4 linked regions of the Drosophila melanogaster genome follow. The protein of the gene in region 3 interacts with the protein of the main gene of each other region in a pairwise test. Each region holds a gene or a part of one and is shown on either strand. Other genes may lie near its edges. The genes, in order: CG8204, Epac, Cyp1 and CG6576.

Region 1 (4,226 bases), on a different chromosome or scaffold from region 3:
TGATACAGATCCTGAAAACCAGAAAAATAAAATCCCTGAAGCTGGGTATCTTCGATATTGACCAGATTTCGAACACAGAACTGCCCTGGAAAGGGATTAGAAACCTAGAGCAGCTGCAGTGCTTCCAGGAGGAAATGATGGTGTGGTTCCTATCGAAACTGGAACGTCTAACTCACTTGAAGAAGCTATTTCTTTGTGGTCACGTTAGATACGGATTTCTGAGAGAGATTCTCATAGCTGCGAAGAGAAGCACTATAAATATGATCGAGATAAGCCAAAATACATCCATATTTTGTGAAACTTACGGTTTAAATGTGGCTATTAAGACCCTAAAGGTGGCTAATTTTGGTATGCATGCGTATCAGCATCTTCACATTAATGTCAATGAATTTTATATACAAAATTCGGTTTGTGTGGACGAAATTAAGTTTCATACCTTAATACAAAACCTAAACACACACGAGGTCCTGGGTATATACCATTGCACCTTCGGATTTAAGGAGTTCACATTCGATGCGAAGAAACTGGGAGAAAACCGTACCACAGCACTTAATATTTATGTGGAACTAAACACGTATCTCATGTCTAATGAGGTCTAAGTATTTCACAACTTATATTAGCTTTCGTTTCTAATATTTTTCATTACAGGATCCCATCCCCATGACCTGGAAAGTGCAAGGGGAACATAGGCTTTTCAAGTTGCACATGAAGCATCCAAAAATCACTTTTAACTCGGATCCAGTTTCAATTTACTTTGATTGAGTTTGATTGCCAAGGAACGAAGCTGTAGACTGATGACTAGTTTGATATGCCAGCTGAGATAGATAACTTTAAATGGCCGAGCCAAATAATTAGTTGTACGTTTTCCCTGGTTATGGAAAAGATTCAACCTTACCGGCGGATTTCAATGAGAAGTTTCCAGGAGTTCTTCAATGCAAGCTCCTCTAGAAGCTGCCAAGGATTGACAGTACTATTAGTTACAAAATAAAGGCTTAGTTTTATTGAGACTGTGTGTCAACTTAATTCAGGAGTACAACTCAAATTCAGTGCGCTCAGCATCCGTCATCGGTTCGACGACTTGAAGGCAGGCATTAGCGAACTCCACGAAGAGTGGCTCCTGCATGGCGGCCATCATGGCCGACTGGGCATTGATGGCCACATCAATCTGCTGGAGCAGCGAACGCAGGTGTGGATTGTGGAGCAAATTACGCAGTTCCTGGCAGTTTTCTGTACGGAAACCATCATACTATGAGAAATGTGTATAATTGCGAATTTAAACACCTACCTAGTTGCTGGAGCTTCTCCGCGGCAACTGTGTCGTCGGTGGGGAAGGGCACATGAAGCGTAGGTTCCTCCTGGTAGCCAACTTCAGTCTTTTTCAAGTCGGACTCCCTTGTCGCACATTGGGGCGAATCCCTGTGTGTCTTATAACAAGCCACAGAGCAGCTACATTTTGCGACATTTATTATCTCCGTAGTGAACTGTTCGAATAGCTACTTACTAGGGTGCCGAGCATTTGCTGCACTTGTATTTTCTCAAGTTATCTACGCAAATAATGCATTTTTCCATCTCATCAAATTCAATGTCGCGTGCAAAATAAAACTCAGCTGTGCGAGTTTTATAGCCTCCAGCTTTTGCCTCTATCGAGGGTTCCAAGCCGTTTCTGCTCCACTGGAACGGCGTTATGTTTTTGGAGGTAAACAATCAAAAAGTTAAATGCAAAACGCAAGCAGAATAATATTAAAATGCGCATAAGATCGCGGGGCTGCATGTTAATTTAGTGAGAAAACAAAACTAGTGGAGTTCTACGACGAGTGTGTTGAAACGAATCCCATAGCTTAGTTAGATTGTTCTGTAGCTGCCAGCCTTCGTCAACAGATGAATTCTATCTTTGGCGCCATTACTTTTAATTTGAATTTGAACAATTTGCTGGAACAAATAAAATGTTCATCATCAACATTCAATTTTGCTCATCATAAATAAGTAAATACTTTATATAGTCAGAAAGCTTCAATCTACTGTATCTGTATCTCACTGACTTACATATTGAAAACGTTTAAAGATTATCCACAGGTATTTTAGTTATTAACCATACGATTAGCGGAGTGTTTGGTCAGATTGAGGAAGACATAGAGTCGTCCTGCCCTTTTCCGGTTACGAATAGCCTTATTTGATTGAATGTATCCTGTGTATCCGGTCTGTTTGCTTTGGCCAGTCTCATTTATGGGCCATCCCGGGCACGTCATCTTCCGTGAGGCTTCCGAGCAAACAAACGAGGAACGCTTATCATTGCCCTCCCATTTTTCCGCCCCAAAGCCTCCCAATCCTTTCCCCCCGCCGCCGATGGCAATGCGCAGTCTGAAGCCACCTGGCGAATTAACCGAGAATTCGACAAGCGCGAGGGGAGCAATCAAATGACGGTCGGCGTGTCCGCAAATTGTAAACATATCCTGCACACGGAACGTACTGAAACGGAACGGTCCTTCCCGGGAAGGAGTCGTTCAGATCCGCTCCAGCTCCAAAGACAAGTACAGTACAACCAGAAGTAAAAATAAGTACAACAGTGAGGCTCGATTGGTTAACCGAAGCATGGAATGCCCTTTGTTATTAAGCTTTCTTTCTAATGAAAACGTGTTATGTGTATGCACAATATATAGTCCTAAAAAGTAGGTTTAGTTGCAAGAGAAACATCTCATTTATATGGCCATATTCAGCTATGAAATATACACATATAGATGTGTGTCATTAAGATTTGATAATAATGATAGTCCTATAGGTAATGTCATTGGGTTATAACTTCTTACAGTCCTGTATACGATAACTACACCCATTGAGATCCTTCGTGTCCTGCTCCTAGTCTGAGCCGTAATAACCTCTGCGAGGGTATGGCAAACAGCGAAAAACTTTTGGTGGCAATAAATGACTTCAATGACTGACTGACTGACCGGATGGGGTGGTCTAGGTGCATGGCTATACTCGTATATGAATCGTTTTTTTTCTTCTTGTTTCTGTTGCCATATTTTGGGGGACTTGTAGCCGGGACTGGTTGTTGTTATTTTCAATCGTTTTTGCTTTGTTTTCTGAGCGCTACCAATTGGATTGCACAAAGAAAAACGAGTGGTACAAAAGAAAGCAAAGGATGCAGGCTAACAAAGAGTTTGGGGATGTGGAAGGTCTGGGGAATCGGGCCGGGTAACATGATGTGGCGCCTCTGCCGCTTCCGCTGTTCGTGAGGCACAAGCGCGATAATTGCCAGCGTTATCCGCTCGGCCTGCCAGTCAAATAGGCGCAGCAGCAGAGGCGCTGGCAAGCAGCGGCTATCGGCGGTGGCAGGGATTTCGGGGGGGCAGGAAGACCCTTCGTGTGACTCGCCTACTTTTGATTTACAACATTCGTGCAACATCAGCAGCAGTGTATCGCCAAAAGGAAAAGGGGCGACCAATGCAAACAGCAAGAAGAAAAGCGAGACACACGCCACCAAATGGGGCGAAAGTTTCTCGCGGGGTGCAGTAGTGGCATTTTCCGAGGGCAGGTGTCGTTCGTTAGGAGTTTTCAGCGTTTTTCATTCCCAGCTTTTCCCAGTTACCAAATACCAACTACCAACTACCAACTACCAGTTACCAGCTAGCCGCCAGCGAAAAAGCCAAAAGCGATATTAATAGATAGCGGCACTTTTCGCTTCGTTTTTATCGCCCGAAAAGCCAAACGAGGAAAACACTGGAAGGTGGAAAAATAAGGGGGCAGATAGTCCTGGCAATTGGGCAGATTGACAGATCATGCAATCGTAGTGGCACAGCGTTTATAGTGCATATAATGAATATTAAATTACATGCAACACATATGGCTTTGGCAGTCGAACTTCCTTAGCGCGAATGTACTTTTTTCAAAAAGGTTTGGTTCTTGTGGAGGCAGTTTTTTATCATACTAACCACAAAGTGTTGCACAGCAAAGGTTTAAATCCCTATAAATATATCTATTATGCAACATGTCAAGTGGAGATTGTATGTCCCATAGATTCTTAATCTTTAATAATGGTTATTTTCCGTATAGCGATGATCGCCTGTAGTCCTTCCAGGTAGTTGGATTCATATTGGGTGATAGCAGGCATGCAAACGCGACATCTGCAAGCATATTCGATTGGAATTCACCGGAGTATTGGAGATAGTGGACTAGTGGGTCATCAAATGGATTCGAAAATAATTCGAAATGCCGAACGGATGCCGGGG
Region 2 (5,854 bases), on a different chromosome or scaffold from region 3:
AGCTGTGAAAGAAATCTGGATCTGCATACTGCACCCTGGCATCCTGGCACCCTTGCGCTACTAGGCCCTTTCTCTTTGGGCGGGGCAAACAAAAGGCAGCGGTCTGCAAATGTTTGCCCAGGCACAAGGCAAACAGTTTGCTTTAAGCCCTTGCCACTTGACCTTTCTTTTTTCCCGCTGCCGCGCACAGTCACATGAGTGCCCGCTGACCCCTGACCCCTCATGCTTTAGTGCGAGTGCGGCAGAAGCGTTTAAGCGTTGACAGAGCGTGAAATTTGAAGAGATTGTCCTCTGATTGATGGTGTGTGTGCGCGGCGGTTAGGGGCGGGCCGGTATGAGGCGGAGGCACGCCCCATTCGGATAACACCAATGAAATATAAGGCCACTCTGCAATAATAGAGTGTGCCGCACAACTGAGCAGTCGGTGGGGACAGGCGGGGCTAATAATGGTAATGGTAATGGTGGCACTCGTCCAGCGATGCCCCAGCTGAAATCCAACAAATTGCATCAAGTGGTTGCTGGGAAGAATGTGTGCTCGATTCCCGGCCATTTACGGTTGGGCAAATCGATTTAGACACTTTGAAAAACAATTTTGATCTCTGGTCAATGTTTGATTAGCTCGAATCAAGTTCAACTTAAGCTTAAGTACTGCGCACACACTAAAATAAATTTGGTTATTCCGTAATTGTATATAAATATTTTACACGCTAAATGCTGACTATTCTGTTGATTGATGCAATAGTAAATGCTTTAGAATGCTGACTATTCTGTTGACTGTTGCAATAGTAAATGCTTTAGAAATAGCATGTCATCAGGAGAGATACTCCATCTCACATATGAGCTTTTTCATTAATTTAGATAAGGGTAATGTTATTATGTTGGCTGTGAAAAGATAAATACTGTGGTGTCCAGATAAAATGAAACCGCTCTCTTAAATGGAAAGTATAAAGTCTGACATCAACTAAAAAAAAAAAACAATAGTCCCGTGCCTCTGTTTTATTCCACTAAAATAATGTTTGCACAAGACTAAACTCCATCCAATTGCAAAGCACATATTTACGTAAAAAATGTATGTGCATTAAAACCTCTGAAATGCGGAGCTTTCAGCAGAAATATATATATTTTCAATTAAATTATAGTATTTTTATACTTTTACAGCGGTTTAATTATTATTTTTGCACGACAGAAAACACTTTTCAGGCATAGCTCATGAAATGAATGGTAAATTACTTTAATGCTTTATCATAATATAAATTGTATTTTAAGAGTAGTATCATTAAATGGGTTGGTTTATTTATAGCGAACTACAATTACATTTATTTTGCATTTCAATTCACAAGAAAGATATGAATGTCATGATTAAAGTCCTGTTTTTATTTTCCTTTGTTCGGTGTCCAAATCAGGAATGATGAAATAATTGCTGTGCAGAAGGCGGCTCATTGAGTTACGGAGAATTGATATCGAGATTTAATAAAGCGGATAATTCGTGGCAGGCCGTGTCCACAAAGTGGATGGATTGGCCATTTGCCAGCCATCAAGGATGGAGGAGGATGGGGCACCCCGATGTTGGTTCTTGACAAATGAATGTCGAGCATGACGGCAACATTTTAAAATGTTTCGCTTCTCGTTCTCGTTTTGTTTGTACTCCACGTCGAGCTTTTCATTCAACTTACACGTACGTCGATGTGTGAGTACGTGTCTGCTCCGGGAAAACAGAGGAAAGAAACTTGTGCACTCAGCTGGGAAATGCCTTAAATTTAAGAGAAAGCATTCCGTTTCAGCTAAGGAAACTTTTGGAGCTAAAAACTTAGAATTTAAAGAAAAGTTCCCCAAAATCGCTGCTCATTAATTGTGCAGCTCATTAAAAAATCACTTACCGTTTGTCCATTGCAGTTATCCATTCCATCGCCATGTTGAATTTTTATTTAAATCTCCCTCGCTCGATTAGTTTCGCCGTTTGACACAAGTTATGATACAAGTTATGAACAGCACATTCCACAAACACCAAACCAAATAGTTGCCCCAACTTTGAGCAGAGCACATAAATCGAGGCGGAGCGGCTCCAAAGTGGTGCAAATTAATTGCCCGTTGCGGCCCAGGAAAGCGAAATCAAAATACCGAGTAATGGCGGCGCTCGCACCCAGTTTGCAGTCACCTCAATCCGCGATGTGGCCGTCAATCTGCGATTCCCTTTGAATACGACATGCCAGGTGGCTCGGCCCAGCGAGGCACTCGAAATCCGCTTTTGGGAGCGTTGGAGCGAGCTCCTTTCGAGTTGGAGCCAGGGGTAAGTGGACGTAGCTCGTTGATTAGGCGAAAGTTTGGAAATGGATTTCAGTTTGAGCTCCCGTTTGGCTGGCGACGAGGATTTCGATACCGAGCAGCTGCAAAGTTAAATTGGGCGAATGTGAGTCTAAATTCACTATACAGCAGTCGTAAGTGTAAGCTAGCCTTGGGATGTCGGACTCTAATATAATTTATATAAAATGCCAGCAGCAGATGTAAAAGTTTCCCTCTTTCCGATTTTTTCAGCCACATAACTAATGTGAATTGCTATTGTTGGACTTGCCAAAAAGGGTTTTCCCAACTGCTGATAGCTGCCCAGAAGGCCCCACTGCGTCAGTGTGTGTGTGCTTGTGTGTGCTTGTGGGTATCTGTGTCGCCAACAAAAGCAAATGTTATGAATAAGCTTTGATGCCTGCTCGGCCGGCGAGGGGGTGTTGTGGTGCAGGAGAGCGGTGAGGGCGGAGCACCAACAAACTGTTGGCGCACAAATCTAACAATAGATTTCCAGATAACAATAGATTACTCCACACACACGGCGTATACTTAATGCGCTGTCAATGGGCATTCTAATTTCCCAGTATGCCCAAATCCAGATCGTATGGCATGCGAAGGCACGATCTAACCGCGAATTCGTTACCGAACTCCATGTTTACCCATGCGCTGCACTATCTGTATCTGTACCGCAAACGAATGCGTATTTTGTTCTGCGTCAATGGGAAAAAACATAATTTATACCACCCCATCAGAAGTGCAGTGGCTTTCGTCAGCGAAATGGAACTGCAGGCGGAACAAGTGTTCGAGTGACGGCTCAAAAGGAAAGACATCGCGAAGGACCATCAGCTCGCATATGAATAATTAAGTATTCGCCATCGTGGCCAGCCCGCGAAGGCGCCCGAATGTATGCCACGTTTTCTGACGTGTCGTTCGCTCGCTGGCTGGCTCCACGTACATAAATGGCGACAAAAGTCCCGGGGGCGATAAGACTGATATTGGCGATATTCCGAGTGGACGACTCGATAAGCGGCCACTTTCGAACGAGTTGTCCATCCTGCCAGCAAATGCAATTAGTGTCCGGAGTGGCGGTTAGGGAATTGAATTGAACAAGCTTTGAAATCGCCCTGGAAACAGATGTTCCATGTAATTTCCACTTTAGGGTTTCAAACTTTGTTTTAATTAAGCAACCGAGTGAAAGCAAAACTTTGAACCACAATAGATGTGATTTAACTGCCCACTGCAGCCGTTGCCAAACGGAAAACTTAGCCATTTAGCTTGGTCATGTGGCGAAGAAACATCATGAATCGAATACTCACGCATCCTCTGAACGGAGAAAAGGATCAGAAGATGCAAGAGTAACAGAGATCCCGCAGCAGAATTCGATATTTTAAAGTCCTTCTTGTTGGCAAACACTTTTTGGCACGGAAAATGAACTTTTAGTTTCGAACCCACGCGACATACCGAAATCCAGCGAATACCTGAAATCGAACCGACTTCAAACGAATATTTAAATGAACCACTTGCTAACGGCTTTCAAGCACTTGGTATATACAGTTCTTGGGCAAACATTTCAGTTCTCGACCTCCGCTGAAGCGCTATCGCGTCCGATTCATTTGGTAGTCGCGTCGCAACTGCTCGGCCGCCTTCCATTTTCCGACTTCCGAGCGGCGCTCTTCACCACGCTCCTGTCCTGCGCCTCGCAGGTGGGTTTCCCGGCGGAGATTGGGGGTCGTGGTGGGTTGTTGGAAGTTACTCATTGCCGATGACTGCAGTGTTGACGGCTGCGGTGCGGTACTTTTGGCCTTGTTCCGCCTTCCCGCCGTCCCTTTCCGTCACTCACATATTTTGGCGCGTTTTTTAGCAACAAGTTTGACAAATCTTCGGCACAGTGGGCTTACATCCAAATCGGTGTGGTCAAAATCCAAATAAAATTTGGCACACGAAAAAACGTAATTTCAAAGTAGTTCTAATTAAATACAGTTTCTTTGCTTATAGTGTTTGAAATTATACTACTTTTGTTATAATATTTATTATAATTTGAATCCCATTATTTTGTGATATGAATGGATTTCTACTATTCTTTTACGATTTTAAACTTAATATTAATTTAATTTAAATATTATTCTTATTCATTTACTGCCTACACTTATATACGATAATCAGCAAAGAGATACAATTTGTATAAAGATGGCTATAATGATATAGCATTTAACATATAAATTTATGTTCTTGTTTGATTTATTTGTTTTACTTACTTGCTTATTGCTTATTAGTATAGATTGTCTTAAGTCCTCACATGATTAGTGAGAGGTTTGGTTTTATCTTTTATATGTTAATTGCGCTGTTATGTTACTGTTACTGCATTGTATGGATTCATCGCTTCTAAATAAATAAATATAAAAAAAAAAAAAATATAGATTGTGTATTGGGCTTTAAAGATGAAAAGTTAATCGAATCTGATATGTTGTATTACGAATAATATTGCTTGCCTAGTCTACTTGAAATAACAATTTGTTTTGACTCTATTCACTCGAATGTTTAGCAACATTTGCTGCTCGCTCTCCTATTCTACGTGCTCCACAACAAACTGTTGAGCGTTATTTTGGTGAGTCGTCGCAGTTGACCAGCTCTTCAACAGGCACTTGTCCGTCCGCTCGGCCGTCGGGCGAACAGCGGACAACCCCGCACCGCGCCCCGGGCGGAACTGCCTCACACCCTCGCCTGAAAGTGCACATAAAATGGAATCGCAATGCGAAACAATCAACATGTCAATTAAATAATGCACACCAGCAGCGGACACGAAACAACGGACAGAATTTACGGAGCGAGTGCGTGAACACCCGGACTTTTGGTCACTTGGACACTTGGACATTCACTGACGGCTTGTCACATTCAGCTAATGAATCAACGGCGATTCAGTCGTGTTCGCTCCTGAAAAGGTGCGAAAATGCAAAGCTTTCCTTTTGTTTTCCACCTTTCCCAGAGCCGCTGTTGTTGTGGTCGCCACCACAATATTTACGGCACTCTCGAGTGCCTTTATTTCCGCATGAATCATTCCCAGTTTCGGTTCCAGCTCCACAGGCTGCCCCAGCGCATATAAATTCTTGGCTTTTTCCCCCAGCTGTTAATGCACAGAAAGAAAAATAGTTAAGGTGGATCGTAGTCTGGTATTCCTAGATAGGTATTTCATTATACACAAACGGGTGTAGCATAGGATAAGTGCAAAGATGAATTACTTCTACTAATATAATTAGACATAATTAACAATAACGGTATAGCACTAAATAGAACTGACGTAATAAAAGTGGAAGACTACTTTCCCTGTGTTGCAGGGTTTTTTTTTTTTTTTGGTTTTTCATGGGGTCTGCCTGTCGCATTTTTTATGAGCCTCCCCCATGTTGACAGGACCACCATAGACATTTTTTCGGGCTTGCCAATGCGGAATGAAATTCCAAGAATTTAACGGCCGCTTTGCCTGCTGAATATGTCATCACATGGCGTTGAATCCTGCTCCACCAGACACAACACAACGACCCGGCGGTAATTATGATAAATGCGATCTTAATAAACTCGG
Region 3 (6,005 bases):
CGTGGCCAACTCGGTGCAGACGCACGGCACCGGTATCATCAACACCACCGTCAACTTTATATACCAGTTTTTGCGCCAAAAGTTTTACACCTTCTCCACCTTCCTCCACGACGAGCAGATCAAGTCGCGGCTGCTCAAGGAGCTGCGTTTTCACACGGAGCACAAGCACAGCAAGTCCTATCAGTCGTATCCCTATGAGCGCGCCGATAGTTTTCTTAAGAAGATCAGAAGGCTAGGCTGCTCCAGCAATGGCGAGACGTATATGGATCTTTTCAGGAAGGTTATCACACAAGTCGGTAGGTGGTTAAAGACCATAATTCAAGAAAATGCTTAAAATATAAACGTAAATATTGCTTTTAGGCAACGCTGTTGGCTATGTGCGCCTCCTGCAGGCTGGAAGCAAGAATGCCAACTTCCGGAATCGCTCGTATAAAACCAGATTCGACAGCAACTTCAGTTGCGGGGGCTCCAAAGTGCACGAGGCTACGGAGGGTTCCATCAGGGAGTACGAGAAGAGCCTGGGTCACATGAAGGAGTGCTATTCCGATAGCACAAATTACTTCAAGGTGCAGTCTACGATCTTAACAAGTTAGGTAACCAGCTTAACCCATGGATTTATATTGCAGCTTCTTCTGCAAGGCTTTCAGCCCTTTTTGTGCAATCCACATAACCACCACCTGCGAACCTTCTACCTCATCACACCGGCGCTCATCATGAACTACATTGACTACCGGGTCAAGCAGAAGCTAAAGATCTACAAAAAGGACCAGACCAAGATCTCGCTGTTCGAGGATGGCTTCGCCATCGGCCTGGTCTACATCCTCAACATGCTGAACCAGCAGACGGAGTTCCATGAGCTGGGCTGGAGCCAGACGATCACGCAGCACCTGAACGCGGAGCGCTCCAAGGTGCGCGACATTTTGGCGGGCCAGCAGCGGACGGCGCCGGAGCAGCTGGACGAGAAGCTTCACCAGACAGTGGCGATAACCGAACGACATGTGAACGCCTACGAGCATGAATACAATCTATTGTACGCCACCTTGAGTAGCTCCGAAATATTCTTCCAATAAAATATGTCCATTTACCAAAACCAAAGATCCCAGCAGTGACAACAAACAATTGAGTAGTTGGTTGCCGTTTATTCAGATTTATTAAGACGAAAATACAATTCCGATTCCGGTACATAGCGTAGAACGTTGGTATATATATATATATATGCAATTAGATAATCAGCATTACTAATACTATTATTAGTAGTAAGTAAGCCAACATCAAAAGATCAAACATTTTTCTAAGCCCCTCTCGACTCTTGTCGTCTCATTGTTTTTCTTCTTTGTTTTTTTTTTTGTGAATGGAAATGTTAAAGTTACAGATTTAATGCATATTATATAGCCAATTGAACGCTTTCTGACATTGGTGGGCACTAATTCTATTCACTTTTGGCCCCCACATACAATTGATTGGCCAAAGGAAACCCAACATGTCTATTGAAAATATGTTGGTTTGTTATGTATTTTTCTCGTAATATTACAGTACAGTAATTGGTAAAAAAAAATGTTTTGGAGAAAATGCAAATGGTTTTCGTCTTAACAGATTTTTCTTCTTGCAATGTTGCTGTTGCTTTTGCATCGCACCTTCTTAAAGAGAACCAGAGTTAGCCACAATGATCTTCTTGGAGGTCTTGCCAGACTGCGATCCATAAGATTCGATCTTCTTGACCACATCCAGTCCCTCGACGACCTCGCCGAAGACGACGTGCTTGTTGTCCAACCAGGCGGTCTTCACAGTGCAAATAAAGAACTGGGAGCCGTTCGTGTTGGCGCCAGCGTTGGCCATCGACAGGATGCCGGAGCCGGTGTGCTTCAGCTCGAAGTTCTCATCGGGGAACTTGTTGCCGTAGATGGACTTGCCGCCAGTGCCGTTGTGGTTGGTGAAGTCGCCGCCCTGGCACATGAAGTTGGGGATGACGCGGTGGAAAATGGAGCCCTTGTACCCGAATCCCTTCTCGCCGGTGCACAAGGCGCGGAAGTTCTCGGCGGTCTTGGGCACGACATCGGAGCGCAGCTGCAAAATACAAACAAAAGGGTAGAAATTTCGTTAGTAAACAAGAAATTAATGCTAACAAAGTATGACTCTTTTTCAGTTCTTCAAGGTTTGTTTATCCGAACTCGGATGACCTTGCCACTACTTTTTGCTTATTTATTTCTTTTTTTTTTTGAGGACTGGACAATTTTCTGTATAATTCATGTTGAGCGGCAGTAAACATGATCAGCTGTTTTTTGACGCCGCTTTTTTTTCATCGCCATTTTTAGCCCTTTGATAATATACATATGCATGTTCATATGTATGTGCATATCTATACCAAGGGAAAAAATACATATAATGCACAGAACTTTGCAAATGCACTAGAATTTGAGCAATTTTCCAATTCACCCAGTAATCGAGACAATTGTATAAATTAGTCAAGTAAATGCTTTTCCTAATGCCGCTTCTCTATAAATCTTCAATTGTTTAGTGTAGTAATTCGGCGTGAAGTGCAGAATTTTTCGCGCACTGCATGTATGTTCAAGTGTGCGTATGTACATATGTATGTCCTATTGGAAGGAAAATCCTAGACATGTGGCTTGGTTTACTTGGCGGGCAATGACTTTATTCCCAGGCCACTAAAAATATACATCAAGCATTCGCGTTTCCTATTCTTTTTCTCTATTCAAAAATTAGGTGTACATTACATCATCGGCGGAATTAATAGTGAGTTCATGTTTGCAAACGGGTTTACAGAACTCGCGCATTCACACCCGAATATCTCTGTGTGTACACTGTACATCTGCGCGTACATTACCCGCATGCACACATGTACATATGCAAGCACGACAAGAACATACAGACATACGCGAGTGACCGCTTAGAGGTTATGTTCGTGTATTGATCTGCATGTGTGTATGGGTATGAGCCACACATACGCAGACCACGCCGGAATGTACATATATAGCACACATGCACAGATGCATATAAAATACCGGTAAAAATTGCACACCATTTCGGCCAAAGTTTGCCGACACGTCAATTAAAATAAGGAAAATTCCATTCTATAAAGATAATACCACCAAATGGCCGATTTGCGGGGGTTGGTGCTCCTGCTTGCCTGTTTGCTCAAAATTCAGCGATGTAGAGATAATTATAGAGATTTTCCGATTAAACGCGCCTGTCCAATTGGGTTGGAAAATTGAAAATTTACCCATAGCGCATTGTCATGCAATTAGTCATGGAAAGTAATTGCACTTGTCGCTTATAAATTAGAGGGCGAGTTTGCGCTGTGTGTATATTTGGTACAAGTTTTAAATCCGTAAAAATAAAAAGAAAAAAACGGTATGTACTTATCACCTGAGGCAAATAATGTAAAACACAGTCTTAGCTTTAGGCGTAAGAAATGGCTTTATGGGAAATCACGTGTTTTTCACTTTCTGGTCAAATGTCACAAAAAAAAAAACCTCAACTTAAGTTTAAAATTAAAAAAAAAGGGCAAATAACTCACCTCCATGACGATCCGACCGAGGGGCTCGTTGTCGGCGGTCATATCAAAAAACACCCTAGGCAAAGTACTCATCTTTGACGCTTTCGAATATTCGCGAACAATCTGAATTCCAAACTGCAACTGACCCCTATTCACACTGCACGCTGACGAAGCTAGGGTTATAGATTTGTTAGCTAAAATGGCGGACTCCGCAATCTGAAATGCCGCTGCCGACCTGTGCCGAAACTGTCGAATCAGAGTTGCACAAAAAGAGACCATCGTGTATGGCTTGCGACCGCATGTACGATACTACGATATCGTTCCGTGCGTTCCATTCCGCGCGTTTCGCTGCTGCTGCGGTCGCAGCAATTGTTACATCACTTTAGGGCGCCCATAAACGCACTTTGTGCTGCCCATTCCCCCATCAAAACGGATAAATGGTCGCGTTCATGCGCCCTTTTTACAATTTTTATAATAAATAAATACATTTACTTGCGCTCATTTGAAACCGCCAATCGAAACAACGCATTCGCCTTCGTTAAGTAAATATCTTACAAAAAATTACAGCATCGTGATCAGCGATCACTCCTAAAAATCAAATATTTTTTTGCTTTTAAAGAGCCATTAAAATATAAAACTTAAAGTTGAAATAAACACAAGACTATTAAAAAATTAAGATAATTGAAAAATAGTGGTCACTTTGAAATAACCATTATTCTAAAACAGCACATTGTAAACCCAAAAATCACGGCGAAATCACAGGATTATTATAAAGACTTTTTAAGCATAAATTGTTAAAGCATATATGCAGCTATTTCTATAGCTTTTTAAAAACAAATGTATTAATTATTTTTATACATGTATTCATTATTTTAAATTACTTGTTTTAAATATTAACGTTTCGATAGTTCAATTGTGCGTGTCGCATTTTCTATTTTGCCATTTTAAACTATAGTTAATAACTAATAATAGTGTTTTACAGTATTAAGTCTTACAAACTTTTAAATGTAATTTGGAGAAACGATGGAAAATAAATAAATAAATATAAATAATTTTTGTTTAAATGGCACGATAAAAAATAATTGACCTAACAAGACAGCCTGTTTCAAAATTATTTTTCGATTACTTGAAATGATTGCTCACAAATAATCAGCAATTATCGGAACAATGTTTTCAAATTTGTTTTCCGCTTTTTCTCGCGCCTTTTGTTGTGGTTTTTCTGCCGCGAAATTTGAAAATGGCGTTCAAGGTGAAAACTAGTTGGTGATTCATTTCTGAAAACGTAATGAATGCAGCTGCACGGTCTCAACTACTCTGAGTACTTTTCACCACCTAATTGACCTTTAACTCCCAGTTTAAATGAACTCGTCCTTCTTTTTACATTTATCACTTTATTATTACAATAATGATACGTATATTCATTTACAAAACATATCCATTCATTGTTTTTACATATATAGCATTTCATTTCCCAAACCCATACCCGATCCACTATGAAATAGTGAGATTACCATTTGCCTCCCTCAGTGAATTTAAATGAAAGAGATTAATACAAACCCAACTCGAATCAGAACCGCAAGCCACGCCATTTCATTAAACGGAAATAAAGCATTAGATAAACGCATGACAAAGGCCAGAAGAATTTCTGATTCAGAAGTAAAACTAGAAGGAAGTATAAGCATTGTTTACAATACTACATACATACATACATCAATTGGCAATTAATTACATAAATTAGAAGCACCAAACAAAAACGATATGGCTGGCTAGCCTGGAGCAGCAGCACCTTGGCATGCTTATCCCCGAAAGCGGTTGAACTATGGACACCTGTTCCACGGCTACATGCATATTAATATAAGCGAAGCAAAAGCTTAAAAACAGTGATTATCGTGCTCTTTGATTAATCGCTTTGGAATGCCAAAGTCAAAGCGTTGAGAAGGCGTTTTACAGATTCGGATTCGAGATATATAGCGGACGCCCAGACTTAGAACTAAGAAGACTTTTGTAGAGCGAATCGCAGGATTAGCAAAAAGATGCCCACATGGGTCCACACTTGATGGAATACCCGACTCCCTCCGCTGGCGGCAGCCGCAACGAGCGGCGATTTCTGATTGTCACGGCACATCGTTTGGTTCCGAATGAAGTTGAACATGGACTCGACGAGATTCGCCGGTGTTATGTCCGAGCATTGCTCCAGTTTACGGACCACACACGCCTGCAGAGTCAGCATCTCGTCGCACTGTTTCTGACCGACCGTCAGCTTGGGCATGCTCCTGATGCGGTTGTCCTGCAGATCCGACACGTTCAGGTACTCGGAGAACGTGCTGTTCACGCACTGCTGAATGTTGTCCTTCTGGGACTCAATGCATTCGGGTCCCTTTTCGGCAATGAACAGGGCTATCTGATCGCCATCCTTGTGGCACACAAAGTTGAGCAGACTCTGGATGATCTGCTTAATGACATCCTGGCCCTCGCGCTCCTCCTGCACCAG
Region 4 (4,718 bases), on a different chromosome or scaffold from region 3:
TCAGCGAGTGTGTGAATGTTGCTAAATTTATAAATAACAGCTTAAGTTGTGCTGCTCCCAAAGTAAATTGAAATAAAAGCAAAAGTGATACGCGTCCGTCGTCGTGAAACGGAAAACGCAGGCGATGGAAAATGGGAAAATAGGAAAAAATAAGAAAAATAAGAAAAATATCAACGCATAAATAAAGCGCGAGCCTCGCGTCCGATTCTGTCGCATTCGCCGGCTGCATTCCCAAATAGATCGGGGCGCTATAGTCTATATCTGCTCGTATGCCCTATAGGCATCGACAGTATATATCCCAAACCTGCCCGGTGCGTGCCGGTGGATTATGTAAAGTGACACACGGCCGATCCCGATACCGATCTCGGAGTATCGCCCAGCGCAAATAAAAGCAAAGGAAATAATAGTTTACTTAGCAGAAAAGAAATAAATACAATAAAATAAAATTGAATAAAATAGGGGAATGCAGAGAGAGTGTCGTAGAAATTTGTCGCACGCGCGCGATTTCAGTAAGTGCATCTAATTTATTTTGCATCTATTGCAATTGAGAGTCGGCATCCGGCAGATACGTTTTCGTAATTGTCGTCAGCGGTTCGAGTTCCTCCGTTTCGATCTCGCGCGAGTGTTTGCCAGATTGGATTACCAAACCCAGGCCATACCAAAATAAATTATACACCAATTTTGAAAGGGCGATAAACATACATTGTGACCGAATTTTGATCCGATCTGCGATCGAGGATCGCTTGCCAAGAGCAACGTAATGTCGTCCTACCGCAGTTATGTAAGTACTAGTTAATGCAGCGCCAACTATCCGTATCTGTATCTGCATAATACCTACTCGTACTATATAGTGTGTATCTCGATCTTTGTATCTTCGCTCTGTGCCTTTTTGCAATTCTTCGCATCCACGGATTTTGTTTATTTCTAATTTGTTGCCTTACCCCACACACAAGAGTATTTCGCAGATACATACGTATACGTTTTATATGGCAGATAAAATGTATCTGAATGTTCGCTCTCGATGTGGTGTGGGCTCCAGATCCATTGATAAACAATTTAGATACAAATTTGCTCATTGTCTGGTTTTTTGGTTGGGATTTGTGTCTAGTTGATTGTTCTAATTTCCTATCCACACAAATAGCACAAATTATGGCCGAGGTGTGGCTACTGAATGAACGAATTGTTGTGTTTGAATAGCAAACCAATGCATGAATAAATGGCTTTTACTTTGGCAAAGCAGGTTAAGTTCCGAATTTTAAACCTATTTAACTTGATTTATGTTAGTATTTGCGTATATGCACAGTTGTCAAAGGAATTAATTTTGAGTTATTTGACATACTTTATGGCAGATTCATTATTGATACTGACCAATGACTGACAGTTCCCAAGTAAACATTTTGTGTTATTTATTGAACTTATCATCATATTTATTTATATTATTAACCCGTTCGACATCATGTGATACTTGTGAACTTTTATATAAAAAGTGCATTATTTCTATATCTATCCTATAATATAAATACACTTAATTTCGGTTGTCATTCCCAAACTTCCAAATCGCTTTCTACTAATCCCCTTTATGTTCAACTCATTATATCCTTTTGTTCCCAGGCATCCAGTTTATGACTTTAGCCTGACTTTTGACTCATTGAGCATAAATCAATTAAATATTTTTCGGGTCTTAGAATCTAATAAACTGATCAATTTATGGGCGGCAAACAACAAGTTTCCACCCCATCCCACGCACATCTACCACTTCATCTTCTCCCGAGTCATTTCTCCAATTATATATAGAATGTTTCTAAAAATGTTGGGAGTAAAGCAAAATGATTTCTGTTTCGTTCACGTTGACGCAGTCTCTTTTTTCCTCATTGGAGTTGGTACTTTGTGTAGGATTTTTATGGCCAGAAGGAAGTTGTAAATATTTATGACAAGCATAAAGTTGAAAGTTCTCCGGTGAGAGCACGCACCACCTAATTAATTAACAAAGTGTGAATACTCATGCAATTTGTTTGTGAGGGGAGAAAGTAGGGGAACGGTAATGGAGAAACAATAAAGTTGCAAATATAACTAAAGCTTTTAACTTCATATTCAAAAAAAATAAGTATATATTATCATATAACTAAATTTATATTCATAATGTATTAGCGAAAGCGGTAATGATTAAACATTGTTTCGATTATTGATTTCATTAGAAATATCTCTACTCGTCACACACAATGCGATCACAATCAGTTTTCATTTGAATTATTCATCAAAACAGATCAAAATTTGTTGTAGTGTAGCACAAAGGAAGGCGGTGATAGGCGCTTCTCAAATAGGCTTCGAGATAAGGATTTATGAATCAAGCTATCTGAGTCCGAGATTATCCACGCACACTCACCCGTCCACCCAACTGCCACCCAAGCCCCCCACAACACTCGAACACAGACACAAGTCAAGGACATTTTTTGATAAAAAGATAAAAAATGACACGGCGTCGACGTCCACGATGTAAGGTGAATCCCTCGATAGCGCTGAGAAAGAAGAAACAGGAGACTGCACCCAGTGCAGAAAAGGTAGAGCCACAACGTCCACCGCCCTTGCCGGATCCGCCCAGCGAAGAGCCACCGGAAGTCGTCAGCACTTCGAGCGTAGAATCTGAAATCGAATCGGATTACAAACTCTTCCCGGAACTCTACGATCGCCAGCCGTCGATGCCCACGTTTGCTGATCTTTTTGGTCAGCCCTCTTATGAATCAGTGTTGCAGGAGCCCGAGGTGGCATCTACCTCCTCCTCAACGAACACAAATGCCGCGGGAATACGTAGTACAGACGATGGGAAATTCACTAATATTCCGGCCACGATGCTGTCAGATCAATTTGGGATCATTGGGCTGCTGGCCGCCATGAGGACTACGCAAACGGATCCGGGCGCCACGCAGCTGGTCTTTGGTGAGGATCTAACCACCTACGGACTAGATTTGGCTGCCCAGGGAGACATTTATGTGCATTTCAATGGGCCTCTAACCCGCGAACCACCTGACAGAAATTCCATGGACTGCGCCCTTGAGATGGGAATGCGTGCCATGCGTGATTCGATTATCAATGAACCACCGAAGGCTCCGTGTTGGGATCCATTTGAGCCAGAGACCCAAGATCTGGGACTTGTGGGCAGTCTTGAACCGGATGAGTTTACGAAATCCGATCCAGATACGGAAACGGATCCACCGCCAACTACTGATTTGACTGAAGATCCGGAAACGGATCGAGATGATAATCAGTATAGATAACACATTTGGAATCGGCGCCAAGGATAAAAAAGAAAGACTAGTCCCAAATAGAATAGCAATTTGGCAGTTGGTTAGATCTTTGAATACTTGGTAAAATTGTTGATCTTCGTGAATTGGTAGCCCTTCTGTATAAGAACTTGTTTGGCTTTAAATATAGAATTGGCTGAGGAGTAAAAACGGGAATAATTATTTGTTACGAAAAAAAGTGCGATTTAGTTATTTAAAATAAGGTTCGATTTAGTACATATATGTAAATATCGAAAAAAATTAATAAACATTCGGAAAATATCGAAAATGAATAAGCTCGGAATTGATTATAACTCATAAATTGGTTATAATCACTATAATTTTCAGATTAACTAATTTAATTTGTTTGGAAATTTATGTTTGAACGACTTTCTGGGGTTGAATATTTCATTATCCTTTTAAGCGCCGATCTCCACATAGTTGAGTTTCCCGAAACGCATTTTCGACACTTTCGTCAGAGCAAACTACAATAGAAAACGTATTTAAAAATAAATCATTTGTCTGGCAAGCGAATATTCAGTCGCCACTTCGAATCATCTGGGGTCACAGTCTAAATACTTTGTGAGTGGATGGCTTTCCTGGTCGTTCTTAATGGGCTGTGGCTACTGACAGACAGGCGCATTATAGCGCATCCTGCTCCTGATCTGCAGACTCCGAGATTCTGCAATCTCCTAATTGAGACCGCATAATAATGCTGTCAGAAGTGCAGCACTCCGCTGGAATCGGCGGTGAACAAAGTACACATGGCGAAGTCATTCCAGAGAAGATCCATAGGCCCATCCACATCCACACCATCACGATCCTCCACTCTTTTTCTCCTCCGGCTGAGTGTCTCCGTTTGCTTGTTTTGCACATTGTTGGCTATTTGTGTGTTTGGCATTCCATTTCACTGAGCGAAAACAATTAGCCGAGACTGTCTGTCTTTCTTTCTTCCTCACTCCCTCTCGCTCGCTCGCCAATTCTTCACATTGGGCGGGCGCCTGGAAATGTAATAATATTATTTTTTATTCCCGGATAGTTGTCATTCGCCGGGATGGGAGCCACTTGGGAAGAGCCCCCTATTTGAAGTGATTTACATCGAGAAATTCCTGAAAAGTATTTTCATGGGCGAATTCCACTACAGTCATGGTAGTTCATATAGGGCTAAGCTAAGTGGGATTCGATTAAGTTTCATCAATGAATACACAATAATTTATAATTTAGTTTAGCACATTTGCTGTAAGTATTGGGTTCAACAGCATTTTATCTCGTCATTAAATGTAATTTGCAATAATTAACCCAAAACGTTTGAGTTTGCCAAAAATCTGAAAACTGGCAACACGAATTTTGCAATTTTAAATGGGTGTCTGATCCTCAAAGATGTAGTGCACAAAAACCGCCAACCCACAGCCCCCCACAAACCAACCGGCCATCCTCAAT

What was found.
Region 1: the proteins of Cyp1 (region 3) and CG8204 interact in a two-hybrid assay, tested with the Drosophila melanogaster proteins (one large-scale study listed by BioGRID).
Region 2: the proteins of Cyp1 (region 3) and Epac interact in a two-hybrid assay, tested with the Drosophila melanogaster proteins (one large-scale study listed by BioGRID).
Region 4: the proteins of Cyp1 (region 3) and CG6576 interact in a two-hybrid assay, tested with the Drosophila melanogaster proteins (one large-scale study listed by BioGRID).

Annotation. Positions count from the first base shown.
Region 1 is NT_033778.4:15,572,165-15,576,390, forward strand, and holds CG8204 (uncharacterized protein), read right to left. Parts: upstream 1,828-4,226; 5' UTR 1,570-1,827; coding exon 1,502-1,569; intron 1,447-1,501; coding exon 1,286-1,446; intron 1,228-1,285; coding exon 1,025-1,227; 3' UTR 980-1,024; downstream 1-979. Other genes in the region: CG30466 (uncharacterized protein), read left to right, coding at 1-593, 649-762.
Region 2 is NT_033778.4:6,795,029-6,800,882, forward strand, and holds the start of Epac (exchange protein directly activated by cAMP), read right to left. Parts: upstream 3,914-5,854; 5' UTR 3,742-3,913; intron 2,385-3,741; 5' UTR 1,913-2,384; coding exon 1,878-1,912; intron 1-1,877.
Region 3 is NC_004354.4:16,316,544-16,322,548, forward strand, and holds Cyp1 (cyclophilin 1), read right to left. Parts: upstream 3,828-6,005; 5' UTR 3,794-3,827; coding exon 3,536-3,793; intron 2,065-3,535; coding exon 1,639-2,064; 3' UTR 1,130-1,638; downstream 1-1,129. Other genes in the region: SWIP (strumpellin and WASH-interacting protein), read left to right, coding at 1-296, 361-566, 627-1,070; CG9917 (uncharacterized protein), read right to left, coding at 5,505-6,005. UniProt on the Drosophila melanogaster protein: PPIases accelerate the folding of proteins. It catalyzes the cis-trans isomerization of proline imidic peptide bonds in oligopeptides.
Region 4 is NT_037436.4:8,753,715-8,758,432, forward strand, and holds CG6576 (uncharacterized protein), read left to right. Parts: upstream 1-2,274; 5' UTR 2,275-2,468; coding exon 2,469-3,272; 3' UTR 3,273-3,453; downstream 3,454-4,718. Other genes in the region: Fhos (formin homology 2 domain containing), read left to right, coding at 761-781.